4 linked regions of the Ovis aries genome follow. The protein of the gene in region 1 interacts with the protein of each later gene in a pairwise test. Links are inferred from orthologs where the notes say so. Each region holds a gene or a part of one and is shown in the gene's direction. Other genes may lie near its edges.

What was found.
Region 2: the proteins of YWHAG (region 1) and TNFAIP3 interact in binary tests that used the Homo sapiens proteins (3 or more experiments, as listed by UniProt). The link is inferred for Ovis aries from reciprocal best matches to the Homo sapiens genes YWHAG and TNFAIP3.
Region 3: the proteins of YWHAG (region 1) and EPB41L3 interact in binary tests that used the Homo sapiens proteins (3 or more experiments, as listed by UniProt). The link is inferred for Ovis aries from reciprocal best matches to the Homo sapiens genes YWHAG and EPB41L3.
Region 4: the proteins of YWHAG (region 1) and FAM53C interact in binary tests that used the Homo sapiens proteins (3 or more experiments, as listed by UniProt). The link is inferred for Ovis aries from reciprocal best matches to the Homo sapiens genes YWHAG and FAM53C.

Annotation. Positions count from the first base shown.
Region 1 is NC_056077.1:34,831,123-34,838,519, reverse strand, and holds the start of YWHAG (14-3-3 protein gamma), read left to right. Parts: upstream 1-3,175; 5' UTR 3,176-3,364; coding exon 3,365-3,451; intron 3,452-7,397. UniProt on the Homo sapiens protein: Adapter protein implicated in the regulation of a large spectrum of both general and specialized signaling pathways. Binds to a large number of partners, usually by recognition of a phosphoserine or phosphothreonine motif.
Region 2 is NC_056061.1:63,022,381-63,029,912, forward strand, and holds the start of TNFAIP3 (tumor necrosis factor alpha-induced protein 3), read left to right. Parts: upstream 1-3,103; 5' UTR 3,104-3,370; intron 3,371-6,740; 5' UTR 6,741-6,755; coding exon 6,756-7,050; intron 7,051-7,532. UniProt on the Homo sapiens protein: Ubiquitin-editing enzyme that contains both ubiquitin ligase and deubiquitinase activities.
Region 3 is NC_056076.1:39,339,073-39,345,983, reverse strand, and holds the end of EPB41L3 (band 4.1-like protein 3), read left to right. Parts: intron 1-393; coding exon 394-525; intron 526-1,801; coding exon 1,802-1,900; intron 1,901-2,327; coding exon 2,328-2,603; 3' UTR 2,604-2,677; coding exon of another isoform or gene 2,678-2,788; 3' UTR 2,789-3,976; coding exon of another isoform or gene 3,977-3,982; 3' UTR 3,983-5,104; downstream 5,105-6,911. UniProt on the Homo sapiens protein: Tumor suppressor that inhibits cell proliferation and promotes apoptosis. Modulates the activity of protein arginine N-methyltransferases, including PRMT3 and PRMT5.
Region 4 is NC_056058.1:47,404,786-47,412,496, forward strand, and holds the start of FAM53C (protein FAM53C), read left to right. Parts: upstream 1-3,445; 5' UTR 3,446-3,487; intron 3,488-6,363; 5' UTR 6,364-6,515; coding exon 6,516-6,593; exon of another isoform or gene 6,594-6,979; coding exon 6,980-7,037; exon of another isoform or gene 7,038-7,711. Other genes in the region: oocyte-specific histone RNA stem-loop-binding protein 2-like, read left to right, coding at 477-620, 763-859; small ribosomal subunit protein eS25, read left to right, coding at 2,176-2,553.

The DNA of each region.
Region 1 (7,397 bases):
ACTTCCCTGGTGGTCCAACGGTTAAGACTCTGGGCTGCTTCTGTTCAGGGTATGGGTTTGATCCCTGGCCGGGAACGAAGATCTCACATGCCGCACAGCCAGAAAGTATTTAAAAATAAAATAAAAAACAAAGATGACTCTGAGCCTCTCAGCTCTGGCACTGAACCAGCTCCCAGGTCTGTAGACAGATTCCTTGTTTCCACAGCTAAAGACTGTGAATAGCCTTCCATTTCAGATGAGGAACAGGCCGACTCTAATCTAGAACTCACCATGGCTGGGTGGAACGTTGAGTTTAATTTCTCACTTCAAAGGTGAGGAAATTAAGAACCAGAGAGAACACAGGTCTTGCACATAGAGCGGAGGGCCAGGCAGAAGGCAGAACGGCTAGTTCTCCACCTCCTTGCTCCACGTTTCTTTCATCAGTACCACACAGAGTGGAGGAGGAAACCAGAATACCAAGCCATTTGCTCTATGTCATGTCACTATGCCTGTAAAGCAGCCCTCTAAGCAGCTGGGGCCACTGGGCAGCTGCAGCAGTAAGCCTAGAGTCTTAAAAAGAATTGAAAGGGAAAGGAAGGCAGGGCCATCAGAGATGGGTCTCAACACGGAGACTGCTGATAGCCTTCCTGTTTCCCTTTAGAACATCCTTTTCTTTGCATTAGCTTTACTTTTTCCCCAAACAGATTTGGCCTGGATTTTTTTTTCCCCCCTTTCCATTGAACTAGTCAGGGAAAGAAGTGAGGTGGAGAAAGGCAGCCTGAAATGTGCCAGAAAGTTCCCGAGATGTAGCTTCTGGGTCCTGAATCACTGGTCCTGAATCATTTAATCCACCTGCGGACAAGCAGGGTTGGCTGTAATGGTTCCTTCTCACAGACCTGGGATGCCCAGGCCAGAAAGACTGAGGCCTGTCCTGCAGGGAGGAAGAGAAAAGAAGAGGAAGGACTTGGCAAACAGGCACGTAAGAGACAGAAGGAAGTGGGAGGGTTTATTCACCAGCAGGATTGCATGTTGCTGGGTAGTGTAGTAGGAGAGGAGGGACCAGATCCCATGTTGGAGGAGGGGTGAAGAGAGCTATTTCTAGGCTCTTCTCAGTCAGGCCATCTCCTCCACTCCTGCCAGAGGAGTCTCCCTGAACACACGCGTGTTCATTCATTTCTTCATTTCACACATTCTACATACGGATGCTGTGCCAGGCGCTGTACTCAGCACTGGGAAGCAACGACAATGGAAACCAAATGCAAGTCTGGTCATTTCCTGCCCTGGTTAAAATCTCTCACAGGTATTCTATTTATTTGGGAAGAAAGACTTCATTCCCTGCCCTGCCATTCAGGGCTCCCCAAGTTCTGGAACTCCCCAAATTCCATCCCCAGTCCCTACTACCCATCTCTTCAGGCACCAAACACACTGGATTCTCTGTCTAACAATACATATGTCAGGGAGGAATCTGCCTCTGAGTCCCCTGCTTGTCCCTTCTGCCTGCTTTCAAATTCTACAGATCTTTTCCTTTTCTTAAAAAGTTTTTTTTTTCTTTTGCTTTTCATTTCACGTTAATTAATTAATTTATTTTAAATCCTATACATCTTTAAGGGAGTGGGTTGGAAATATTTCCAGCTCTTCAGAACCTCTTCCTGGGAATTCCTTGGGGGGTCCAATGGTTAGGACTGTTCTCTTGCTGTGCAGGGCCTGGGTTCAATCCATGGTTGGGAAGCTGCCTAGGAGCAGGCCAAAAAAAAAAAAAACAACCCACCAAACAACAACAGAAAAAACCTTTTTCTATCTAGCATGAAAGAATTAAAAAACAAAACAACAGTGCTTAACACATTCTGAATTCTTTGAGGGCAGGGTTCCATGCTATCTTCCTCCAGTGCTCAGCATAGAGCCTGGACTATTCCTTCACAGAAATTCCCTCTTTCTCAGTTCTCATACACAACACTTCGTGCCCATTAATTTTTTTTAACTAGTTATAATTTTCTAACGTACTCTACACATTATTTAGCCTATTTTCTTGGGCAGAATTTTGTGTTGTTGATCACTGGTGTACCGCATTGCTTAGAACAGTGCTTGGAACATAGCAGGTGCTCAGTAGATAAGTACCAAATAAATAAAATGTGCACTCAAAACTTTGGGGTATGTGAGCTACATGGAATGTCAAAAAAGGGAAGCATGTAAGCAAGAATTAGTCAGCCTGACCCCATCGTGTATATCCTACGCGGGGAGAGAAGTGTTGGTCAACCCCCAGACAGAACTCAGTGGTAAGCATCCATTGGCTCTGGTAACGCTCCACCCTGGAGAGGAAGAAAGGGCTCCCCAGGGGTCAGGCTGCAAACAGCTGCATCCTTTCCGTGTATTAACCAGAATGCCTGGCCAGTATTTGTCTTTCCACATTTCCACCTGTCAGGTCCAAGAACCTCGAGGCGGGGAAGGAGAGACGGAACCTTGTGGGGGAGGGTGGCAGTCCCCCCAAGGTTTGGCTCTTTTAATTCAACCATCTCTGAGGTGAGTACCACCCAGACAGTTTGGATCAGTAGTGAATGCGTCCCATCTTCCCAGTCTCCCGGGGGCCTGCTGTTTTATCTCGGAAACAAGGTCTAGGGCTGAGGTCCTGGCCCCCCTCCCCCAGTAATTTCCCGGAGAATATGGGGCGGGGCCGTGAATCAGCACTCGCTCGGACTCGGGCAGCCTTAGTCCCCGCCAGGGGTCCCCAGTAGCCGCGGAATTAGACCTCCCCAACCCGCCCCACACCACCTCCTCAATCCTCCTTCATCTGTCCCGCTATGACCACTGGGAGATGTAGTCTTGACCGCCCCTTTGTCCTTGATCTCCCCAACATATTACCCCATCCCAGGGAGAACTACAACTCCCAGGGGCCCACGAGTCGGGGGCCTGGCAGGGTTGGGGTCTGCAGGTCCAGGGTGGGTGGGGGACCGTCTGGAGAAGCTAGGGCGCAGCGAGCCGGATGAAGTGAAGCACGGGGCTTGTCGAGGGGCACCGGGGAAGAAGGGGATACCCGGGAGGCGGTAGCGAGCTGAGCCGGGGAGCGGAAACCCGAGAAGCGGAAGGGGCCGGGGCGGGGCCGGGGCGGGGGCCTTGCGCGGGCTGGTGGGCGGGGCCGTCTGCGTCACGCGGCGTGGGCGGGGCCGCAGGGGGTTGTCCGCCCGCCGCACGCACAGCCGCCGCAGCCGCCTCGCGCCCGGTCCCGCGGTCGCAGCTCGAGTCGCAGCCTCCGCGCCCGTCGCCTCGAGCCGCTCACGTCTCGTGTGGGTCGGTCCCTCCAGCACACGGGCTCCAGCCGCGTCGCAGCCGCCCTCCGAGCCCTCCAGGCCGTCCCGGATCATCCTCGTCCGGCCCGACCCAGCCCGTGAAGATGGTGGACCGCGAGCAACTGGTGCAGAAAGCCCGGCTGGCGGAGCAGGCGGAGCGCTACGACGACATGGCCGCTGCCATGAAGAACGTGAGTTTCCCCTCCCCTCCCCTCCCCCTCCGCCTCGCCCCAGCCCCTTCGCGGCCGCGGGCCTTCGCGGGCTCTGCCCGGGGACTAGTCGCCCGTCGGCGACTGCAGGTCTGGATGCCCCTGAGGGGGCCGGGGAGGGTCCCGACAACGCTGAGGACCAGGTGTGTGACGCGGCCTCTCCCCGAGCGTCCCCTAGGGCCGGCGGCCCGGCCGCCTCGGCCCTCCCCGCGCGCCCAGGCTGGGGCGGGGTCTTTTCGGGGCCGGTCTCGGGAGCGGGGTCTCTGGCCGCCGCGCCTTCGGGTCGGCTTGGGGACCTGAGCGGGGGGCCGTGCGCATCCTTTGTGCCCCACTTCCCCCTCCTCCCACAGCCTGGGCGTGTGGGGGCGGGGGACCGCATGGATGCGGTTCCTCTTTTCTCCCTGATGTCTGGGCGGCGCCTTTCCCATTCACTCAGCAGGTCTCCGGGTTTTCTAATACCCCCCCCCCCCCGCCCACCCACCCCACTCCCCAAATGTTCCCACTACCTTCTGCAGACAGATCCTTTAGAACCTCCTCGAGAAAAAATGAAGGGTCTCCTGAAAATCTGGACTCAATGGTGCAAAATCGAAACCTCCATGCTCACGTTTTTCTTAACAAAAGGCTCCCCTCTCTCCATTCCCCAAAGCAAGCCCTCTTCTTGCCTTTAGGAAGGGGGGCACGTTTGTCTCGCTAGCGTTTTCATTGATTGTTCTCAATATGTCATCTCCATTTTTTTTCTTACTGTGCTCGTACTGAAAGGGTAGGTATTGTCTCTAAAATAAAGGTTGTGAATTTAGCCGACTGGTTCAATTTGTGACATATGCTGTTTCTTTTTTAAATACAGGCACACATCTGTTGAAATTCCTTTAAGTTGAAAAAAATATTCTCTCTGATCTGATATTGCAAACAAAGCGGTGGTGGGAGGCAGTATCAAGTCATTCCAGAAGATTCTGCATTTGTCATATTGCAGAGAGCCTAGACTGGGTGGAGGCTGGGGAGGAGTTATTTTAAAGGGGAAAAAGTCTTTTTTTTTTGTTTTAATTTGTTTTGTTAGACACATCTGAAGCTTAAAAAAAAAAAAGCTAGCGCATCTTCAATGCTGATGAAAAGAGAATACTGATCTCCAGTTGTCGCATTTTGCAGATTCCTGCCTGTATTGCACCACTTTGTCAGTAATGCTACATTTATCTGATGGGCGGTCAACCGGTTTGATATTAGAGGGGGACATATTGAGCATTACTAAATGAAACATATATATCTAATGATTTCAGTCTCACTATTTTAATATCTAACTTCCTGCCTTATGTAACAAAGGTTTTAAAATGCATCTCCAGTGTGCAGCGGATACAGGAGTGTACCTTGCACATGAAACCTCTTTAATGAGGCGGTATAGGCATTACAGATTAATTAATTCTCGAATAACTCTACTGGTTCACAGGAGATGACAAGGCTGATGCCTTTACATTTAAACCAGCTACATTAGCAGAGAAGATTATCTCATTAAGGAAGAGGATTGGTTCTGAAATTGGGAGTACTGCTGTATTAATATACTGTCACAGTCGCTGTCTTTATAAGGTGCAAATGATAAGTTGCACTTCAGTGGATATCAATATCATTTATCGCGTTATTTAGACTCTTCTAATTTTTCCATATTTCTAGTTTCACAGGAAAGCGAGTGACCTCGCACCTATATCCATAGCAACCCAGTGATGTCACACACAATGACACAGAGGCTGCAATGCACCTCAGGGCTGGTAGGGAGTATGCAAATGGCATTTGTCCAGGGTAATGCAGAAATTAGCAGATAAGCCAGGTGGAATTGAGCACTTCCTCTTCCGCCAGAGGAGAATTGGTCCCCCAAAGAAGAATGTCCTTTATCCTGACACAGGCACACCAGGGATCTCTGGATATGCCTGTTCACCTTTCCTATTTCCAATTTTCTTGAAAGTTTATAAGATACAGTCATGTTTTTAAACATTCATCTCAATAATAACCTTGGGCATTGAAGGACTAGAGATGGAAAATTTTAAAACAAGAATATGTTTTATACTCATAGTGTAGGGGTATATGTGGGTTTATTGCAGATTATTAACTTGGCAAGTTTTAATAGAAACCTTAAAAAAGATTATGACTTCCTACTGGGACATTTTCAGTAAACGTTAGGGAATGAGAATCTGCTACAGACACCAGCTTGAGATTTGGAAAGCTTCTCTTGCTATGCTTATGCTCCTTAATGGAGTATGGAGGAAGGAAAACAGTTTTATAAAATAAAGCAGACATTTTTCCAAGCAAATCTGTTCACTGTGATTTTGAGGAATTGGTCTTACGTCTGACCTTCCTTTTCTCATCTGTAAAATGGGTCAACACCTACTTGAAACAGTTGTGAGGATTAAATAAAAAATGTAGATGCTTTAAAAAGGTAACTAAGCCTTGTTTCTTTGTTTATATAAGTCACCACAGAATTTGGAAAATACAGGAAGATAGAAAATACTCAGTCCTACCACTAAAGTGAGTTCTAAGGTTGAACTCATCCAGATGCTAGAGTGGTGAAATTTATTCCTATCTAGTGAAGGTACCCTAGTAATAAACGGGACCTGTGATAGTTATAGGTGTGCAACCAAGATAGAAATAATACGTATTTTGAAAAAGAGGAAAGAAGGAAGTTTAGTCTTTTCAGACACGTGTAGGCTTGTATCTAAAAAGAAGCGATCACCTAGATATTTCCTACTTGTTAGACAATACTGACTTGTCCTTTGGATTTTAACAGCCTCTTGAGCTACTTGTATTTGCCTTGGGAGGGGCTGGGGAGAAAAGGTTCTAGGCAACTAATGTTGAAGTTACTGGGATAAACATTTTATGGTGTGTTGGCGGCAGAGGGGCATTAGTGGCAAAAGTCTATCCTAATTATGTAAAAATGCCTTCCTAGCAGAATCTATATACTTAAAAAAAATTTTTTTTAACTATGTTAAATATTCTGTTTTTTTCTGCTAGCTCTTCCAGGAGGCTAGATCAATAGCCATTATCACTAATGGAGTAATGACACCTCTGTAGCCTCTTTGTGGAGTTCTGCCAGCCATTATTATAATCGAAGTCATGTGGCTTCAATTGTTCTCTTTGGAGTGGAAGAATACAGATAACAGTTGGCTTTTTGTGTTCACCTTCCCGATAACTTAAATGACTGCTAAGTGCCTCTTCTAATTATTTAAACAATTTCATATGGGTTTTTTTTTAATCGAGATAAAAGATGTTGCTCAATGTGCATCTTCATTACAGTTCATTAGATTAACTGCAGACCCTGGGAGGATTTCATCTTCTGGTACTTGGAGGAAGCCTTATTTATTTATTAAACCAAACTCTAGTTAAATTACCAAAAAGAGTGGAGAAAATGATTTGAGTCTTTTTTGTTGAGGTAACAGTCACAGGGCATAAACTAACCCTTTTCAAGTGTACTATTCAGTAGCACTCTAGAAAAGGGAAAAATGATATTTTTAAAAAGTGACCATGGTTGGCCATAGCTGGCTGGATTTCAGCACATGATTACTGATTCAGGAATGTGTCAGTAATGAAGTACTCTCAGCCAGTGGTAATCAGTATCCCTTTGTCTTTGTTTTCTAACATCTGAACCTTTTCAGCCTAAACTGAAAAAAAAAAAGGAGGGGGCACTTCTTTTGGCTTGGTTTGTATTTCCATTTTAAAAGTTCCAGAGCTTAAAAACTGTGATGCTCATCCAAATAAGAACAGTTTACCTGAAATCTGAGCAAACTATTATTGACTATTTGGAGATTATAGGAGTTATGCTGGTGTTCTTATGATCACTCATCTTCCACCCCAAGGCTGACTGACTTTGTTAGACACACTTGCCCTGCTGTGTGGCGGCAGTTCCTGCAGTGTTGAGAGTCAGGAGCTGTTCACACATGGGCTTCTCATA
Region 2 (7,532 bases), on another chromosome or scaffold:
GACAGAGGATGAGATGGCTGGATGGCATCATGGACTCGATGGACATGAGTTTGGGTAAACTCCAGGAGTTGGTGATGGACAGGAAAGCCTGGCATGCTGTGACTCAACTGAACTGAACTGAAGGCTTGCCTAGAGAATCCCATGGACAGAGGACCCTAGCAGGCTACACTCCATAGTGTCACAAAGAGTTGGACACGACTGAGCGACTAACACAGGCTTTTATATCTCTTCGATTTCAACGCACTGCCCAGATTTCCCCAAATTTTTATCTCCTTTCCCATAAGAAGTTTCTCCTTCTATACTCTCCCTTCCTCTTCCACTCTTTGTTTCTGATTTACCAAGAAAATTTTGACTGGTCTTGCCCATGTGTTAAGTACTAGAAAGGGAAAAGTGCAGAGCCAGATCTCTGATTCAGAAGGTGGAAAGAACAGTAAAAACTAGAGAAGGGCAGGGCTAAGAAAGCATCCTCATAGAGACCATCATTCTAGTGGTAGAATTATGGAAATAGGGGTAGAGCTAAACTGACAGTCACAAACTACTCTGCCTCTGACTGCCATGAAAGAAAGTGAAGTTGCTCAGTTGTGTCTGACTCTTTGCGACCCCATAGACTGTAGCCTACCAGGTTCCTCCGCCCATGGTATTTTCCAGGCAAGGATACTGGAGTGGGTTGCCATTTCCTTCTCCAGGGGATCTTCCCCACCTGGGGACTGAACCCAGGTCTCACGCATTGCGGGCAGACGTTTTACCATCTGAGCCACCAGGGAAGTCCTAACTTCCTGACTGCCATGACCTCATTATAAATCCTCATCTTGGCAGACAAGATGGTACAGCAGTGATCTCAGGACAATTGGAAGTGACAGATATAACCATGGAGAGGCTTGTTGCTCCTGCTATTGCATTCCTAGCTCATGAAACCAGACAGCAGATGTAAGCCAGAAAAGGGATAGTAGAAGCTACAGGGGAGTTGAGGGGCCATAGCCAGGCAGCGATGCACAGGAGCTGGCAAATACTGTTTTCAGAGGACCGCAAGGGGAGAGTAGTATGAGGACTGGGGATGATCTTTTACATCCATCATCTTTTATCAGCTTTCCTAGCTCAGAAAGTTTTCTGAGGATAAAACCAAGCCCTGTCTGGCTCCCAAGACCACATGCTGCCCCGGGCCAGGGTCCATGTTTTGCTAAGTGACTGCCATAGGCTTACGAGGTGGGGCCCCTACAAACAGGGGCCCTGAGACTTTAAATCTTATAAGCTCTCTTCTGAGAGTGATTATCAATAGTCAGGACCTAACAGTGTGGGTATAAGGCAGGCTCAGAGCCAGTCATGCCTCTGTCACTGACTGATCGTGCAGACTTTGGGCAAATGGCTTAAACTTCTTAAACGTCGATTTCTTCATCTGCAAAGTGGAACTGTGAGGTTTAAATGGCAGAATGCAAACAGCCTACAACCTAGCACGTAATAAGGACTTGATAAGTATCATCATCATTATTACTATATGCTTGACTATCCATTGTTTCCGTGTTACTTGAGTTGAAAACGTTTGTGAATGAGAGGAGGACAAATATCCGGTTAGGAGCTGGAAAAAAAAATTCCAGTCATTGGTTTCAAATGACCAGCACCAGCCTTGGAACTTTAGTCACTACTGACTCTCACTTCTAAAAGCCATTGGAAAAGTACCACCCCCCATGCGGACTCCACCTCATTCTCCGCAGGTTCTTACTTCTTAGAAAAGGAGTATGATTTTCTAACTCAAAACCTGAGATATATGTCCTGACAAGTACTCTTAAGTCTACAAGAGGACAATGGTATGGAATACTTCAGTCTGGTTCTAGTTTAATCATGCTAGAAAATGAGCCCAGTCAAAGGGGACACTAAGGCAATAAAAGGACTTACTCAGTGGCTCTCTCTCCACAGCTCCAAGATGGCTGACACCTATTTCCACAAGACACTCGCTGGGTGAAGACAGTGCTCTTAGCATGCTACTTAATAGGAGAGCTTAGTGATAAAGAACCAGTATACCTTTGCAGGAGATATGGGTTCCATCCCTCGGTGGAATATCCCCTGGAGAAGGAAGTGGCAACACACTCCAGTATTCTTGCCTGGGAAATCTCATGGACCGAGGAGCCTGCCCGGCTACAGTCGATGGGGTCACAAGAGTTGGACATGACTTAGGGATTAAAACAACACCAATCAAGAGTAAGAGTAATAAGTATTATCAGCCATTGACATCTTGAGGAGAACTATTATCAAGATCCCCTAAAAGGACTCCGAATAACAGCTTAGGGGAATGTGGCAAGGACAGCAAGGAACAAGAAGTGATTTGTAAATTGGTATGATACCTGAATGTGATGCCACCCGGACCCCTGATACGCAGAAATGGAGACGGGAAATTAATCAAGTGACGGAGGGAGTTGGTAGCGGTTTTGATTCCTAATTTTATCTAAGTCTGGTTTTGCCCCTGTGAATTTCAGGGCCTCGAGGTCTGACGTCACCTCCAGGTAGCCTCCCACCAGCCTGGGGTCCGGGGATGGCAGGAATGCAGCGGGTGAGGACCAAGAGCTGTGACTGCATCTTTTTCTCGAAATCCCCCCAGGGGCCCAGAGTTGGATGCTCCCCTACGGGCTCATCACGTGTGCAGCCCAAGCAGTGCAAACCCAGCAGAGGTCTGTGGTCCCCGGGCGCTAGGGTGGTTTTTAGGGTTTTCTTTCTTTATGATTTCCCTTCTTGTTCTCCACAGTTGATGATTTTCTGCAGAAAAACGGCTGAGAAAAAGAACCTATTTCATTTCCAGTTCCCATCACTGCGATTTCCACATGGATGTGACGTTCAGTCCAGCTTCCGAAATGCCCAGTTGACTCACGCGGGGACACCCCGGGGCGGGGCGCAGGAGTTTCTCTGGCAGCGCGGCGGGGCGGGGCGGCGGGGCGGGGTCGGGGCGGGGCGGAGTGCATCTGGCTTCCCGCTCCTGCTGCGCCTCCTGCGCCCCCTAGCGGCGATATCAGGGCTGCGGGAGTCTGGGGCTCGTGTCACGTGACTGGAAAGTCCCTGGGTGGAAATCCCCGCTGTCCGCGGGCGGTAAAACAGAAAGGGAAAAAAGAGAACTGGCAGTCGGCAGCCTTCGCGGCGGCCAAGTGCGACAAGCTAGGAGGCCTTGGGGGCGGAGCGGCGAGAGCAGCCGCCGGGAAGACTGAGGTGGCAGCAGCAAAGGAGATCTACAGCCCCCGGCCGGCCCGCCGGAGAACTAGACCGAACCAGGCGTCCATGGGGAGCCGCCTCCACCCGGCCCCGACCCGAATTGCGACCCCAGTCTGCGGTGCATGCTTGTCCTGACCTGGACTTGGGATTTCTGAAGAGGATCGCGCGGCCCGAAGAGGTAACCCCGCGTCCCTGTGCCTTCTGCCACGGGCTCTCCCGGGACAAGGGCTGCGGGTGCGAATTTGGCAGCGACCCGCGGGCTGGCCCCGTCGACTTGGCCTGGTTTTGCCGCTGTCCCAGAGGGAAGTTTGTTGGCCGTTTGTGACCCCCGTAGGTTCTGAGCTGCTGAGAGTGCAGGTGGCCGCCAGATGTTCGGGTGACAGCCTGTATTCTAGGATCCAGCCAACTGTTCCTTGCAGCTCATGCAGAGAACTTGAACGGCAGTTGCTTGGGGGAGAGTCGCCCCCCGGAGCCGCTTGGTCCGGGTGGTCATCGGTGCTTTGCTCTTCGGCTTGTCCCTTTTGGAGTCGAGCTCTGCATGCTTACGGCCACGTAGACCTTGCAGAACCGCCTGGCCTCTTTCCAGACTGTGCAGCACCGGTCCAGAGGGGTGGGATGTCGCAGCGGCAGCAAAATCTAGGGGGCGGGGGGCCCGGTCAGCTCTCCTTTCCGGGAGGGCTTGCAGACACTCAGAGGGCAGCAGTGTCAGAGAAGTATGCATGGAGCAGGAGGTCGTCCGCCTGCCTTGGGGGGTGACTCCAGTTTAGAGCATCTGCAAGCCCCTACCCCCAAGTCAGACTGTCTTTGTCAGCCGGGGTCGTCCCACATCCTGCCACCTGGCCTTTCAGGAAAGCCGCGGTATTAAGTAAGGAAGGAGCGCAACTCTTGTTGAGACCGCTTTGTTTTCAGTTCTCCCTGCCTCTGATCTTTCCTCGGAAAGCCACGCTGGTCAACTCTTTCAGGGCAGCCTTTTGGGAGAACCAGTGTTTGAGTCCTCTGGACCAGAGCCCCAATGTCCCAGATTATTAAGCAGCCAGTTACTGCTTCATTCTTGTGTCCTAAGGTGCTGCTTTATTTTTTGTTTTCAATTCTTTGTACAATTTTTGACTTTTTGAAGTAGTACTTTCTGAAAATTTAATATCTGTTGGTAGGCCAATGAGGTATCAGAAACATGAAAGAAATGTTATAGGTGATATTGTCTTTGCGAATAAGGACATTACATTCATAGCTCAGAAATTCTTTACCACAAGTCAGATTATTCTTTAATCTCAAGTGTGGAGAAGTCTAAGTCCTGGACACTTAGGCAATGGGCATTGATTTCTTTTAAGGAGGCAATGCTGCAGGCCATTCAAGGCTACACCAATGAATGAGGTGACACTGGGCTGTCAGATATTGACATTTGCATGTCTTGCCTGTGGTTCTAGCGCTCACTGTTTGAAAGATCTTAGGTGCAGAAGAGAATAACAGAAGAGTCAGAAAAGCAAAAAGAGGCTACACCTAGTTTGTTTCGGATCTTCTTGCCTGTCTCCATGTGAGAGCAGCAGGTACTGCAGCCACAGGTGTGGTGTTGTGAGATTAACAAGGAGGTGGGTTTGGAAGACAGGACTTTTAGGCAAAGCCCTGCCCTTGGATGGTGTGGGAGCTACCTGAGCAGGACCAGTACTGCAGGTGCTGTAGCTGGAGACTATGATAGTCATGTGACTTCATGCTGGGGAATAATGTTATCTTTGATCTTTTGCCTCAGCACCAAGCTGATGGTCAGGCAGTAGAAGTATGTGGTCAGGCCATGCTTGCTGAGTGATGGATGGACAAATGAATGACATCATGAAAGAGGCTTTTGCCATGCCACCAAGGGGGAGCGTGTGTGATGTTTTTATCCCTTAGTTGTGTCTGTGGCCTTGCCATGCTTTTGCCCAATTCCACCTGCAAGGAATGTCTGACGTCAAAAAGGAGAGATTACCATTTGACCCAGAGAATGACTTCTTCCAGGCATCATCTAGCCAGCAGATTAGGAAACCTGATCTAAATCTACCACCAGAAGACTCCTCAGAAGGAACCTTGGAGTCATCTAGTCCACCTGTCTCCCTGGAGTGGGCCATGAGAATTTAGACCATTTTATCAATGTCTTTAAGAAAGCTGAGACCTACCCCAGACAGGCTTTCTTGTAAGAGGGAGGTTTCTTCTCCCTCTTAACTTGGTTTAACTTCTTTGTCATCTAGAGTCTTGCCCTGGAAAACAGTATGCTAAAGGACTGGGATTAACGATCACAGTGAAACTTCCTAGAGGCTCAGTTCGTGCTCTGAAACTGTCTTTGTCCTCATCTTGGAAATTTGGATGGATGGCAGGGCACTCTGCTCAGGGTCAGTGAATGTCAGCTGGCTCTCCACAAAGAGATGAGCTGTAAAGTCCCACGTTAAATCTATTCACATCTTCCTATGCTATTGTCATGGATTGGAGATGCTGGGGTTATCCCCCTCCTCTTTCATTTGTTCCGAGTGGCCCCCTCTGGCTGCAACTTCTTTCCTTGTCTGCTTCCAAACTTTTATTTCTTTCCACTGGTTGATTGTGCTTGAAGATTTCAGGATGAAGACAGGGTGAGAAATCAATCTGAGTATTGGTAGCTGGAAGATGATGATAAAATGGGGTTGGCTGTTGAGTTTAAGTAGTACAGTTAATTCCATCATTGCATAGAATTATTCTATGCTTTTACTATCTGCCCTTGGAAGTATAGGATTTATTATTCTAGTATTGTTATTATTCTAATTCTTCTTCTGATGTTGTAAAGTTCAGTGAAGAGGTTCTGAGAGACTGCTAACTGTTTGCTCTTAAAATTGGAAAGCATCCTTGCTGGGAGTAGACTTTTTTGTTGGTTATAAAACATTCAGTTTAACTCTCTATGTAAATATGTAAATAGCATTTTATAAGTAAATGCTTTATAAATGTTCCTTTTGGGGACTATAGAGAAAACTCCAATCGACAGCCTACATAGCAGCATAAAATTGCAGGATTTCTCACAAAATATTTGTTGTCTTTCCAGTATAGGGAGGGAGTGCTTGAAAGAGGTAAATCAAGACATGGACTAAAAAGAAGGGTTGCTTGGTGGTGCTCTTAGAAGAGGAGCTGGCTTGTCAGGGCTACATTGTGCCTATAACCAGCATTCAGGGCACCTCAAATCCAGTGTTTGCCCCCAGAACAGCATCAGGATGAGACAGGAGTTTCAGTCGGTTAGAAGGCACCATACCTGTTGCTGACAGACAAGCTTGGCTCCCTGACAAACGTTACTGAAAACACGGGTTATTCCCCTCCTCCTCATTGCCCACTCCTTCTCTTGTTTAGACTAATCTTTAAAAATGATGTAACTTAAAACTGTCCAGTGTGAGTTCATCTTTGGGGCCAGCTAGTATCCTGGGAGTAGAGGTGACTAAGATCTTTTGCCTGCTGCTCAGGGTAATGACAAGATCAGACAGTGGGGTTTCCTGCAGGCAGGTATATAGGAGTCATATCAAAGTCAGACTAACAGCGTGGGGTTTTCTTTCCCTCCTCTTCAGGTATTGGAGAGCACCATGGCTGAGCAACTCCTTCCTCTGGCCTTGTATTTGAGCAATATGCGGAAAGCTGTGAAGATACGAGAGAGAACACCAGCAGATATTTTTAAACCTACCAATGGAATCATTCACCATTTTAAATCCATGCACCGATACACTCTGGAAATGTTCAGAACTTGCCAGTTTTGTCCACAGTTTCGGGAGATCATCCACAATGCTCTCATTGACAGAAACATCCAGGCTTCCCTGGAAAGCCAGAAGAAGCTCAACTGGTGTCGAGAAGTCAGGAGGCTTGTGGCCCTGAAAACAAATGGTAAGATGTGCTTTTGTCTAGGCGTTGAGGTGGCTCCTACCATGCTGCGTCCCTATTTATTAAAAGGCACCGGGCCCAAATCAAATCTCTTAAGGCTATAGGTACCGAAGTATAGAGACACTCTGAGGGGCATGTGACGAAAGCAAGCTTGCTTTGTGAGTATTTGAATTAAGGGTGATTTCTAGTGCATGTTAGAGAGCAGAGCACACTGAACCTTGGAGAATGCATTTCTGGACACTGTGTTAGGTGTATGTGTAGGGTATGTAGGTATGACTTCTGTATCTAATTCTTGTGACTATTTAATCATCTGTGAAATACCCTTCCCTCACGAGTAATGGAAATATCAAAAGGCTTTAAAAAGTTCAGAAGAAAAAGCATGGTGTGAAAATCAATAGTGTTTTCCACTGTCATTAGAAAATGCTCGTGATGATGGCCTTACACTTCTTGAATCAATGGCATTTTATGGGTTAACCACTGGCTGT
Region 3 (6,911 bases), on another chromosome or scaffold:
CTTTTACTGAGATCTCAGAAGTATATGTAGGCAGGGGTGGTTCAATGTCTTATTACTTGCTCCTTTTCTCTAAGAAGTTATGGAATAAAAGGCTAATTTATGGTTTTCAATCTATTAAAATTAGTTCTTGAGATAGAAGAGAGGGAATATAAAAATGTGGGTGTTTTTTCAATTTCCTTCAAAATGTTTTCCTTTACCTGGAACATTCCATATGAATTCTGGGAAACTCACATATATCTGTTGTATGCCTCATTCCCCAACTTACCCCCATGTAAAACATAAACATTTATTTCATACTAACCTGTGCTTATATAGCCACCAAGAGGGGAGGGGGAAAATATATGTGTCTGTGCAAAATTTAAGAACCACTCTGCCTCCTTCCCGTTGGTGTAGTCTTCAACTGTGAAGACAGAAACCATCAGCTTTGGCAGCGTTTCACCAGGAGAAGTAAAGCTAGAAATTTCTACCAAGGAAGTGCCGGTAGTTCACACAGAAACAAAAACCATAACGTATGAATCAGCACAGGTAAGAGTCTAAGAAGCCCAGAGCCCTGGCACCTGTTTCACCCCGTGCATGCCTTCGTGCACCTGAGTGTAATTAGTGAAAGTGTTACTCAGTCATGTCCAACTCTTTGTAGCCCCATGGGTTGTAACCTGCCAGGCTCCTCTGTCCATGGGATTCTCCAGGCAAGAATACTGGAGTTGAGTAGCCTTTCCCTTCTCCAGGGGATGTTTCCAACCCAGGGATTGAACCCAGGTCTCCCCACATTGCAGGTGGATTCTTTACCAGCTGAGCCACAAGGGAAGCCCAAGAATACTGGAGTCGATAGCCTATCCCTTCTCCAGCAGATCTTCCCGACCCAGGAATCGAACCAGGGTCTCCTGCGTTATAGGCGGATTCTTTACCAACTGAGCTATGAGGGAAGCCAAAATGTAGGAAGAGGCTCAGAAATCTCATCTCCCTCACTGTTTAGATAAGGAAAAGCACTAGTTCCACCGGCCCCTGCTTACACTTCTGAAGTCATGCTTTTTTGTGTTTTTGTTGTTTTTAACAATAGTGACCATTTAGTAAGCCTATTATGTACCACATACTCTACAAACATCCCACATAAATCTCATAAATAAGGCGGTGGTGGTGGTGGTTCAGTTGCTAAGTTGTGTCCAACTCTGCAACCCCATGGACTGCAGCACACCAGGCTTCCCTGTCCTTCACTGTCGACTCTCTCCTGGAGTTTGCTCAGACTCAACATCTGTTGAATCAGTGATGTCATCCAACTATTTCATCCTCTGTCGTCCCCTTTTTCTCCTGCCTTCAATCTTTCCCAGCATCGGGGTCTTTTCCAATGCGTCAGCTCTTTGCATCAGGTGGCCAAAGTATTGGAGCTTCAGCTTCAGCATCAGTCCTTCCAGTGACTATTCAGGGTTGATTTCTTTAGGATTGGTTGGGTAGAATTTTTTTTTTTTTCACTTTTAATTTGGCCACGCAGCACAGCTTGTAGGATCTCAGTTCTTCTTCCAATGATTGAAGCTGGACCACTGCAATAAAAGCATCTAATCCTAACTGCTAGACCACCAGAGACCTCCCAACAAGGATTTTCTTATATTTTTATCTTTTGAAGTCCTGGTTTTAATGATAGTTCACAGCGGCCATGTTTGGTCCAGTCTAGAGTCAGTGGCAGCTCTCAGGGCTATCAGGGAAGCACAGTGATTGTGCAGATAACTAAGTCATCACCATGCCCTCAAGCAACAGAGCGGGCATCCTGGAGAGATAATGTGTCGTGTCTCCCACTTGGCTTGCTTAGGTCGATCTTGGTGCTGACTTGGAGCCAGGTGTGCTCATGAGCGCGCAGACCATCACATCTGAAACCACCAGCACCACGACCACCACCCACATCACCAAAGTAAGTGGACTGGGAACAGATCCAGGGAGGTGTCCGTGCAGAACCCCCAGGTTGCGCTGCACCTGCAGGCACCTGCATGAATACCAGGATGCCAAGCACTGCCTTGGAGCTCTCACAGCTGCTGTTTATGATGCCTCCATCCTCACCTGCCGAGTTCTGCTTAGGAACATGCATTCAACACCCTTGGCGTAGCACTTAGCTCCATTGCTTCGCATATGACAGACGTTTCAGAAACACCAGCCAGCCAAACCCAAAGGGATCTATTCTGTCTTTGCTTCTGAAACTAACAGTTGTAAATAACTGCCATAGGAGTCCATGTCCACTTTTAAAGAATGAATGAAGCTACTTAAAGCCGAGTCAGCATTTTCTACCATTTCCCCCAGTCAACAGGGACGGTAACGTCGTAACACTTGTCTGTTGCTTTCAGACTGTGAAAGGAGGCATTTCAGAGACGAGGATTGAGAAGCGAATCGTCATCACTGGAGACGCGGACATTGACCATGACCAGGTATCTCGTGAGAGAGGGTGGATACCCTGGCAGGGAACCTCGAGAAAGACCGGCTGGCCCTACTTTGCCCAGAGCCATCCTCCTAGTCCAGCCTGTAGTCAGTTTTCAGAATTAACTTTCCAGCACACAAAGTATAAGCCCCTTGGCAGTCGTTGTACTCCATTTGTGAGTTGTGTAGATAGATCTAGCTCATGAGTCTCCTCCTTGCTCTGACCATGCATGTTCCACCTCCTTTTTGTCTCTGCCCTCCTGTGATTTCCCGGGGATAGGCGCTGGCTCAGGCAATTAAAGAGGCCAAAGAGCAGCATCCTGACATGTCAGTGACCAAAGTAGTGGTCCATAAAGAGACAGAGATCAGCCCGGAGGATGGAGAAGACTGAGCCCAGGTAAGAGGTGGGTGCTGCTTCTCCAGGCTTGGCCTTGGCTGGCATGTGGCCCGGGGCCTCCCTCTCTCCCTCCCCTCACCTCCTCCTTTTCTCCTTTTTCTCTCACTGGCATTTGCAGGGCTGGATATCAAGAGGATGGAGAATTGGTGTGTGGATACTGGTTTGTTTGAGATTTAACAGGCTCCATGCTATGGACTTTTGATGTCCCCCCTGCCAGTTAGAGGATAAAGAGAAAGCAGAGACTGCTTGCATGGTCCTGCACGTCTTCCCTTTCAGTCCATGCTCCTCTCATTAGCCAGGTCTGAAAGGTCGTGTTTGTTGGATTTCACTGGCCATGTAGCCTAATCAGCTCTAATATGGTTTTGTTCTGAGAGGTGCAATTTGTGTGTTCCAAACACTAGGGAAATAAAATGATGCCCATTCTAATGCCAGCATTATCCCATTGTTAGCTTCCTCGTCAACTGTGTTTGGTTCTGGCCTGTTTATGCTTTTGTTTTGCTTCGTTTTACAATTTGAAACCAAACCACTCACTCTCACTGTGGATGTCATCTATTTTCCTATGTACTTTGGGATGGTTTTTTTTTTTCCCCAGAGTGTAGCACTGTGTCTCAGGAGGAGGCAAAAATGCAGTCTTGTGGTCCTGCTTTCCTTCAGGAAACGCATGCCTTTCCAGCTGCTGTTTGGCCAGCATCATAAGCAGACAGCATCTCCTGTGTGTCCTCAGACTTGTTATGCATACTAACCCACCTGCAAGAACTTGATGAACACTGAACATGCTTGGAGGGCTTTGAATGCTGAATGCAGCTCCTTGCACACTTGGTTATGTAATAAAAATCTTTTAAATGCTCTACCTGTGTAAAGGAAGTTAGTTCTCTAACATTGGTTTAGAAACCTAGATTGATAAGTAGCCTCTCTCAAAGGAAGAATGTAAAAATCACTCATCATATTCAAGTTAAGAAGGAAAGCAAAAAAAGAAAAAGTTTCTTTTCAGTGCAGTCAGCAACTTGGGTAATGATGAGGTTATTTCAGAAGAAGCCTGTCCATGACATACACTGGTGTTTTACAGTATCTTGTCCAGAAGAGCATTTAATAACCTTGTGAGATACTTGCCACCTGACTTCAGTCTGAGGGAAACTCTCATGTATTTTCAAATGAGTAACTGATCAAATCTCTCTTCTACAGGAATAACCTAGGCTGCACACGAAGCCAGTTATGCAAACCATTAGGAAAAAACAGAGTCTATATGGCGTTCCCTCTTCTAACCCACTGACTTGTATCTGCCCATGGACAATTTCAATCCAGAAGAACTGACTTTGACCATTTGATAAAGACACTGGCAGAGAGATCTTCCCATAATAAAGCAATCTGAATCAGCACCACTAAACCGATATTGCATGAAGCAACGATACAGTTACAAAAAGAGCAGCATTTTTACTTTTCACACCGTGTCTCCGTTTTCGGCTCCACCTGCACGTTCATAACCAACAATACAAACCGTGATCTCATGTAACACATACAGCAGTCCATGCCTTTCATAGCTGATGATGATTAAAGTCTAAACAAAATTGCAGTTTCTTAGGTGGCAAATCTTTTGTTTACAGATCAACAAAGATTACCCTCAACTGCTAGAAGCTGTCTAGGTCCACTGTGTCAGGTTTTTCCCAGATTAGATGTGCCAATAACCGAGTTTATTCAGTAAACAACTTGAATCTTGTTATTTGTTTCCTCTGGTTTATTACTCTCACCCATTAATGGTAATGACTCTCCGGAAATATTTAATGCTCACAATCCTGCTTTGTGTAATCTAATTTAATTCGTTATAAGGTAGTACTGATTTTAGCATATTAATGTGATTTCTTCCCTGTCATCTGCTTTGGTCCGTGTTCAATCTGGAAAGCTTCCCAGGGTACCCTGACAAGTCCTAAATATGTAAAATGTCATTATTTTGGAAAGAAAACCTGTATTTTTGTTAGTTTACCATAATGATGAAACTTCACTCCAGGAAAACTCGTTGGGCTTCAGTTGCTTTTGTTTCCTTTCTTCATTTCTCCTTCCTTGTATTTTTTTTTTTAATTTTCTTTTTTTACTTGAAAAAAGTGTTTTATTTCCAAATCTGGTCCATATTTACAATCTAGTTCAGAGCCAAGCCTTAAACTGTACAGAATTTCCACTGTAATTAAACTATTTAGCATTGAGTTATAAATAGCCTTCAAGAAGATATATTCTCCATTTCACTGTCAACTGCATCGCACAGCCCCTGGTGAATGTATGTTTCCGCATAGCAAAATAAAAATGGTCAATGCATTTAAATCTCTAATTCTCTACGTGTAATACTTTCAGGATCAGACGCATTTGGCCCAGAGCTAACATTTGCATGACATCAAAGGCCTCATTCATCTGCAGGATAGAGAGCGCCTGTCTTTTTTCCAGGATAAAAAGTACAGAGAGATGGTGAACAAACTACGTGTAGATAAACGTTGGATTGCCTATGGAAGCCTGGAAAAGTACAGCGAGTATCACAGAACCTCGTTTTCACCATTTTTGTTTTTCTGTTAGAAGGGAGGCTCTGTTGAAAACCCAGTGCTTCTGGAGCCTTTTAATTCTACCGGAGAGACACCTCTGTCTTGCATTAGCACCAGAGCTGAGCAGATAAGGAGGCCGGTCTGCAGGGCCCTATGTGTTCCCGTGGCTGATTCACATCGAGCTCCTCGAGTGCTGGGGACTAAGAATCAGACTTTCTGTTGCCAGCTGCCCACCTAACTCCTGAGTGTATCCACTGGCACTTCGTCCCTCACTTCCCAACTTTAAAAAAAAAAACACCCTTCATTAAATTTTTTTTTCCAGAAAATTATTAATATATTTGACCACATTTATTGTGTTACGTTGCTCAGTTGTGTCCAACTCTTCACAAACTCCTGGACCGTGTCCTGCCAGGCTCCTCTGCCCATGGGATTCTCCAGGCAAGAATACTGGAGTGGGTTGCCATGCCCTCCTCCGGGGGATCTTCCCAACCCAGAGATCGAATCTGTGTCTCCTGCATTGGCAGGTGGATTCTTTACCTGGGAAGCCCTATTTGACCACATATCTTAGCCCTATTGAGGGAGTCAGATTCTTATCATTTCTCTCTGAAGTTCTCAGTCTGTCCTTACTGTCAAGACTAACTGTTCATTTTCGGAACTGAAGCATCATTTTAATTGTGCTTGAAGCCAGTCCAAAATTGTCTTGAGAAAAGTTAACACTTTTACTGATAGGAAAATGACAAGTGGCCTCCCAAAGATGCCAGCACCTGGTCTGCTGACTTTGTATCCAAGTTGTACCTGTGTTCCTGGTTTTATTTATTTTTCTGAAATTCTTATTGAGGTATAATTGATGTATATTATTTTCAGGGTACAATATCATAATTTCATATTTTGTATATGTTGTGAATATAAACCCCCCCGTAAATCCAGTTACTGCTGTCGCCATACACAGCACAATTTTTTTTCTTGTGCTGAGAACTTTTAAAGTTTACTCTCTTAACCTTTAAATATATGTTAATAATATGGTATTAATTATTACAGTCACCATGCTGTCTGTGTTTGCTGTGTTTACCAAACCTAGCATTTTATGTTCCTCTGCCCTCAGCAGTAAGGGCTTACTCATTTTTATGAAATTATACATTGTCAAGGAAGCTACATGTTCTCAGCTTTCTTTTCCTTCTATCATGCTTCTCAGACTTTTTCCAGCTTCCTTCTACTATTCCAAATCACTGTCACATACTGCTGTCTCTGACCGCAGTGCCCACTTCTAGTACCGAAATCTGTATCTGCTTTCCATTGCTTTATAACATGACAAACCTAGACAGCATATTAAAAAGCAGAGACATCGCTTTGCCAACAAAGGTCCATATAGTCAGGGTTATGGTTTTTCCAGTAGTCTCATATGGATGTGAGGGTTGGACCACAAAGAAAGCTGAGCACCGAAGAATTGATGCTTTTGAATTGTGGTGTTAGAGAAGACTGTTGAGAGTCCCTTGGACAGCAGGGAGATCAAACCAGGCAATTCCTAAAGAAAATCAACCCTGAATATTCATTAGAAGGACTGATTGTGAAGCTGAAACTCCAATACTTTGGCCACT
Region 4 (7,711 bases), on another chromosome or scaffold:
TTGGAGTGGGTTGCCATGCCCTCCGATCTTCCCAACCCAGGGATCGAACCTGCATTTCTTACATCTCCTGCATTGGCAGGAGGGTTCTTACCACTAGTGCCACCTGGGAGGCCCATGCCTCCATCTGACTGTTAATTACAACATACCTGACTAATTACATGTAAGCTTACAAGCATATATACAAATTAATGAATGAAAAGGTAGAATATGTTTTAAAGAGATATCAAGTACTTTCTTCCGTATCTACCTTGACTAGTGAGGGACTTGGAATATCTAATTTAGCTTACCCAGAAGAAAGAATATTAGAGAGTTGGGAAGTTTGATATTTAATCTAACTTAAACATTTTCTTTGGGTTGAGGACATTGATCTTACCTCATTTTCAGGAAATCCCTAATGAGTCTCCTAATTCACCATAATAAGCAATAAGCTGTGCCCCTTGGCCGTGACCTTAGTCTGACACATTTGTCATTGCCAGGGCACAGCGACAGCCAGGACTTCACCCTCAAACACCAAACAAGAACAGGAGGTACAGCCGTCGCTCCTGGGATGCCCAGATCAGGAAGTGGAGAAGAGCCCTACATTCCTGGGACCCTCCCAGCCAGCCTCTGCAGGCTGAGGGGTGTGTGCACTATTCCTTGTTCCTTCCTTGAGTGGTGGACTAAGCCTTATCTCTCTCCACTTTGCAGAGGTTTCACTTTCACTGGCTGAAAAGGGAGAGTCTGACTGAAGTGCACATTTCTCTGACTCTGCTGCCTTCCTAGGTGCAGAATGGACAATCTCTTAGAGCCAATGGATTCCACCCCTTTGGATGACTGGCTCCAGGCCCTGGAACCCTCAGAGAATCAGGATGAAGAGTAGGAGGGAGCCCAGGTAGTATCCTCTGCTGAAACCCACTGGAGCAGGGTCAGAGATGGGGTCTAGCCCAGGAGGTCACAATTATGATAGGGTTCAAGGTAGTAGCCCAAGAACAAAAGAAGGAAAATGGAACAACAGGGGGAAAAATATGGAGAATGTGAGTTAAAAAAAAAAACACCCTGAACCAAAAGCGGGATAAAGAGATCTAGTTGTTAGAAATGGGGAAGAGGCTGGGCTGCACTGGGGACACTGTTTTATACTTGATGAAATGGGTGTCAATCACTTAGCTTTAGTAAGCATGATATTTTATTATTAAATAAAAAGGGAGATTTACCTAGTGGTGAGGACCAAGGGCTTTAGAGTCCCAGATAGCTTTTTAATATGACCGTTGTCCACCACATGGGTAGCTACGTAACCTCTCTTGCTGTTTCATCTGTCAAACAAGGAAATTTTCTCTCATTTGATGATTGTAAACAAAAATGAGAATACATATTTAAAGTATGCAGCACGGTGCCTGGCACATAAGCGCTTCATAGCAGCAATTACTGGAAATCGTTTCCTCTACAACTCATGGTCCCTGCCCCTTCTTTTGCCAAGGAGAAATGTGCAGGGCAAACAAATGTGCAGTGTATCTATCACAACCCCCTCCTCTGCGTATTTTCTTGATAAATACTTCACTTTTCCTTTACTCTTCTTTTTGCAGATTTGGTCACTCCTGCTTCCTGCCTTCCCTATCTTTCTGAGGAAGATCCCCACCATTGGCTCTACCTTTGAGCTGGTCACGATTACTTATCTGTCCCAGACTTCAGTGGTGCATGAAATATTTAGGGAAAACGTGTCTTTCAGGGGACTTCTTGCTGAATGTAATAGTGAAGATTACTTGCAGTACTTCTACTTTCCAATTGATTAAAAATCTAAAACTCTGTCCCACAAAAAGATCATAATACGAAGGCATTGTTTAAAACCTCTCCTTTTCCCATGTTTTACCCTCTGTCTAAACCTTCTTTGATAGCTGATACTCAAATTTACTTAAGAGCCAGAAACCACCTAGCTGTTTCACAGCCTCTTCACCTATCAACTGCTACATTCAGTCTCTTCAAAAAGGACTTAAACTTTGGCTGAGTAGGAGGTACTGGTAGCGATGGAGACTTAATAAAAGGTGATTTTCTCTTCCTGAAGAGGAAATATAGCACTATCAATATCTTTTCCCCCAGCGACCTGTTTCCTCCCTCCCAGAAAGGTTTAAAGAAAGTGGTCCAGCTTTTTGTCCGACATCTTAGCGAGGCGGCAGTGGTTGCAGCTGCTCTCCGGGCTTCGCTATGCCGCCCAAGGACGACAAGAAGAAGAAAGATGCCGGAAAGTCGGCCAAGAAAGACAAAGATCCAGTGAACAAATCTGGGGGCAAGGCCAAAAAGAAGAAGTGGTCCAAAGGCAAAGTTCGGGACAAGCTCAATAACCTAGTCTTGTTTGACAAAGCAACATATGACAAACTCTGTAAAGAAGTTCCCAACTATAAACTTATAACTCCAGCTGTGGTCTCTGAGAGACTGAAGATTCGTGGTTCCCTGGCCAGAGCAGCCCTTCAGGAACTCCTTAGTAAAGGACTTATTAAACTGGTTTCAAAGCACAGAGCTCAAGTGATTTACACCAGAAACACCAAGGGTGGAGATGCCCCAGCTGCTGGTGAAGATGCATGAACAGGTCCCACCAGCTGTACATTTTGAAAAATAAAACTTTATTAAATCAAAAAAAAAAAAAAAGAAAGTGGTCCAGCTGTAACCACCGTACTTTCCCTTCTCCCCCCTCCCCCACGCAAGCAACTGAACCGCCTATGATGTCATAATCACAATCCCATTACCTCATCCTGCTGGGGGTGGGGGCATAAAGAGAGGAGAAGGAGTGAACAGCCCTGGGCCCTCGTCGGATTTACAGTATTTTGAGTGACAGCTAACTACACAAACAAGTGGGAACGGCCCGCAACCGTTACAGGTCCTGGGTTTATAAGGTTCGAGCCGATCCGGCAGCTGGAAGAGGGGCTCCTGGGACTCAGAGCAGGCCCTAATCGGAGCTTGGACTACGCCTCCCAGAAGCCTTCACGACGCGGACGGGTCCTCTGCTGGGGGAAGGGGAATTCCTTCAGAGCGGAGGCCTTAGAGAGTGGGGGCAGGAGAACAGGTGAGAGGAACCCTGGCTAATTCCATTACGCTGCCGGAATCGAGTTGGGGGCTGTACATGGGCTGATGTAGTAACAGAGGGCGGGAGCAATGGCTTTGTTTACCTTCGACCAACACGGCCTCCCCCGCGAGTTTCGAGATTTGCGTTCGACTGGCCCAGTCCACCTTCCGCAATATTCTGTAGGGGGTGACTTCCTAGGGAGGAAACCACCCTCATCGCTAAATTAAAAAGCCCGGCCTCTTTCCGACGGCGCTATCCAAGAGAGACTTTGCGAGAAAAACGACGCGGGGCTCAAGCCTCCGCGGACGGTTCAGGGGGGGTTCTCCCAACCCGAGCGATCGCTCCACTCTCCTCAGGGACCCGTTGGTTCACGCCGGCGCCTTTTAAGGGCACCGTGGGGCGAACCGAGCGCTCAGAGCTGCTCCGGCCGCGGCCCTGGGAACTGGAGGAGCCGCGGTAGGTGGCGGAGGGCAGGTGGCGCTGGGGCCTCGGGGCGGGCACCTAGACCGTCCCTCCCTCCTTCCCTCTTTCCCCTCCCCCAGCCCGTCCGCCCGCGAGGCAGGGCCTCGCTGGCCGCCTCCGCGGGGAGAGCACGGGACCCGGTGGGGGAGGGGGTGGCGGAGTGTTAAGTCCCAGACCCTCTCGTCCCCTGTGTCCTGAGTTCGCTTCCCCGCGGCCAGATGATGGGAGCTGATTGGGAACAGGCGAGCGACAGCCCCCCTGAGCGTGCCGTGGCGCCCTCCCCCCCCACCCCAAGGGGCTAGCGGACGCCCCATGCCCCACCCCGCGGGGACGGGCAGAGCAACCGATGGAGAGGTTGAAGATTGGAGAGGGGGGCCTAGCCTTTTGCTTCTTCATTGGGGTGGGGGGAGGGGTGCTCCCACTTGTCACTCCTATGCCCACCGGTGCCATATGGAGAAAAAGCACTCAGGTCCCCACATACCTGTTCGTGTGCCTCTCTGCCTCATGTTTTTCTTCAGTCTCCCCCAGAGTGTGGGACTGGGACCTAGGGGGAAGGTCTCCAGGGGCTTTTGACTCTCTTCTTCCTTGGCCTGACTTGATCCTAGGTTATCCAGGTTTCAGCACAACCTCAGCATCCCTGAAACCCTTATGTCAGGGGTTACTGCCACCCAGTGGGGTGGGGGTCCAACCTTTATTTGAGGGACAGGTGATGGTGCAGAGAAAGCCTGGATTGAGAGTTGGGCCTGGTGGGGTTTGAGGGAGGGCCTAGCGGCCTGCTGCTCTGTGTTGGGCTTAGCCCCATGCCAGTTGTTAAGCTGAGAAGTTTTAACTTGTTTAGTGAACGTTCAGGGCTGTCTGTGCCCCTCAGATACACAAAATGGAAGGGGAAGGAAGACGGCAAGAGAGGGCTTCTTACTCTTTTTTCTCTGCCTGCCTGAGAAAGAGGAGGCCCCTCGCGGAGCTGGTTTGCCTTCTTTTGTGTCCTGGTTTGATTCCTTATGGCTTCCGTTCTGTTCCCCCTCTCAGCCTGGCCTGTTTTAGGAAACTCAGACTGAAAGTATCAGTTGCGTGGTGGTAGTTGCATTGTTCTAATTACCGCCGTGTGTGGCCACATCCCAACAATTAAAATGCAGAAAAACACAAAATCACTCTCTTGATCCCAGAGAGGGCTGGAAGTTTGCTATTTGGCCAAATGCCTCATGAAAACCTTGAAAGAGTTTGCTTCATTCCGTGCTCCTCATGGCTGGTCAGCCTGAGGCCTGGGGTCTCTGGGGGTAAAAGCCTGCCTTAGGTTTCCTCTCTGGTTGGTCTTTGAGGGCAGAGTTAAGAAACCAAGAGCAGAAGTGATACAAGCTTTAGCTTCTACAAGAATGGGGGAAGCAGCCGAAGGGAGCGCTCAAGAGCGCTCAGGAAACTGGGACTTCAGGGTGGTAATAATAATTATGCATGAAAACATTATTTGACTATAGTGGTGGTTGACTTCTGCCTCTTTTTTGCCTAAACTCCAAGTACATCGAAGTGTGTTTCTTTGCTTTTCCTTGTGGTCTGCCTCCCTCTGAGGTGGAAATCTAGTAGAGAGGATTTCCCCCCCTCCACCTTTTTTTTTGGCCAGGGTTGAAAGTTATCTGCCCTCAAGGTCAAGCCTTTTGGGCTTTTCTTGGCATGTGAGTGAGGGAGGTTGATACTCAGCCAAATAAATCAACCCAATTGCCTTCTTCATCTTAATATTATCACTTGTAGCACCCTGAGGCTTTGTAGAGCAACAAATAGGAAGGGTGAGAAATGGCAGTCTGTGTGGACTTCTGATTTGTTCAGGCCAAGTGGTATACTTCTTATGTTTTGATATTTTGCATTACATTATCCCTGTGACAGATTAAGATTATTCTGCCCGTTTTTCATATGGGTAAACTGAGGGAAAGAAAAGTTTGATGATTTGCCAAGACCATCACAGCAAATCGGATCCAGATTTGATGTCTTGATAGTTTGTTCTCTCTGCTAGCAAATGCTACTTACTCTGTCTGATTGCTGTCTGCCTGCTGGTCATTTCTGGGAATAGGCAGAACAGTATGGAAATGTTAGATTAACTTCCCCTCCTCCGTTGATTGAGGTCCCTCAGGCAATTGTGTGGGCTTGAAGCCTGTTTTCTGATAGAATTAGTTTGCTTCTACTGTAATTGACCGTGAGAAAGAGTCTTGATTAATTGTATTCATGGTCTTTGAGTCAAATCAGGCTAAAAACTTAGTTGAATGAAGTTAGAGTTGTTGTTTTTAACACCTATAGAGTTGAAATGTGAATGGAATTACCCTGGTAGCATTTTCTTGTCTTCATATAAGAGAATATGTACAGTATCTGTTGGAGAACAATAATGTAATATCCGCTGTTGAGGGTGAAGGAGAATATAATACCTTGTTTACTCTGCTTTGAAGTAGAAAGTCATTCCTACAGCCACTGCACTGTTGCTATTTCTGTAGTTTAGGAAAAGGCTACCTCTCCTTGCTTTTGACTGGAAGATAAAATATTGGACTAATCAAGAAGGATATAACAATGTGGGCATTTCTCTCATTTGAGCTGTTTTCTAAGTGGTGCTGGTATTTTGGGTAGGCAGAGCAGAGCATGAACCAGGTTAGGAGTGGCAAATAGGTTTCAACTTGCTTGCTAACTCCATTTTATTATACTGGTTATCCGGAGTGCCAAGTTGAGACTGTTTCCGAGGCTATGTTTAGGCTTAGCCGGAAAGAGCTGTGATCAGTTAATGATGTGTGCCAGAGGCCTGACATAGGGATGCTGGGGTATGTGTGCCATGCATTTTCCATCTCTGGAGTAGGTACATCTCTAATATCACTTGGGGCTGATCCATCTGTAATTGGCAGACTCAGCAGGCATGACTGGAAAGGGAAGTCCCAATGGTGCTAGAATGGTGCTGCAGTGGCAGAAGACAGCTCATGAGTGAGGTCTGGAAGAACAACAGGGAAGACATCCATCATTTGCTCCAAAGTGTGCAAGTCAAATCCTGGGGAGAATCATGATAACCCTGATCACTGAGCAGCTACAGAAGCAGACTCTGGATGAGCTGAAATGCACACGCTTCAGCATCAGTCTGGTAAAAGACAGTCTTCCCACTTCTCTAAGACCCCCTTGCCCTTTTTTCTGAGGCTATTTGTTGTTACTACTTCACCCTTGTCCTGCGTTGTATGAATCATGGTACTTGTACTGGATGTGCCCGCTAAAGGCTCAAAACCTAGCCCAAAAGGAAGGGGGCAAGGTTTTTCTTACTGTTAAGAGAAGGGCCACTAAAATTTGGGTGGAGAAGGGTTTGAGATACTGGAAGATGTGAATTATTTTACTCACTAACTTTGGGAGGATAAGAAGAGAACACTTAGATGTCCCTAATATCCCTATAGCCCATGAATTGCAGGGGTGAGCTGAAGGGGCTTCCTGGAACTCTGTCCTGATCTTGAATCATGATGGATATTCTGTGTCTCTTAGCCTTTGCCTGATCATGCAGACATCTCCAACTGTGGGAACCCTTTCCAGCTTGTGTCTGGTAAGACATGATGTGTTTATGTGTGTGTATGCCCATGCCTCCATCCACGTTTCTTTTATTGGTTTTCCATAACCAGGTCTAGCTAGCCTGCCTCCACAATTTTCTTAAATAGGAAAAGTGTTAATCTGAAAAAAGTGCCCCTTCCTTTTCTATCTACCGAGCTTCTATCACCTCCCTAAAAGTAATTCCTTTTATTAGTTTCTTGTCTATTCAACCAGAGTTTTTGTTTTTGTTTTTTCACAAATAGAATCAAATAAAAATGTAAATTTTTTTTATTCACACTCTTTTAATACAAAAGGTTGGATTCTGTATATTTGGAACTTTCTTTTTAAACTAATCATAATAAAACTAGAAGATCTTTCCATGTAAGTATGTTGAGCGTTTCCTTGTGGGTGGCCAGACCCAGAGGAACACAAGCACCATCAAAGGCCTTTCCCACTGTACCCTCCCCACCCTTGCCTTCACTAAGAATACAGATGATCTCTTACCTGCTTGATCACCCTGTCTTGGTGCTTTGACACATAGGAAAGGTAAAGGCTAAGGACGGAGAGTGTAGGCCAGCTTTCCGCAACTCAGGGCTTGGGGGTTGGGGGAGCAAAGTAGAGCTTGGTGGAGTGGAGTGAAAGATGAGCGTGGCACACACACCTTTGCTTCTCTTGACTCATTCTACCTTT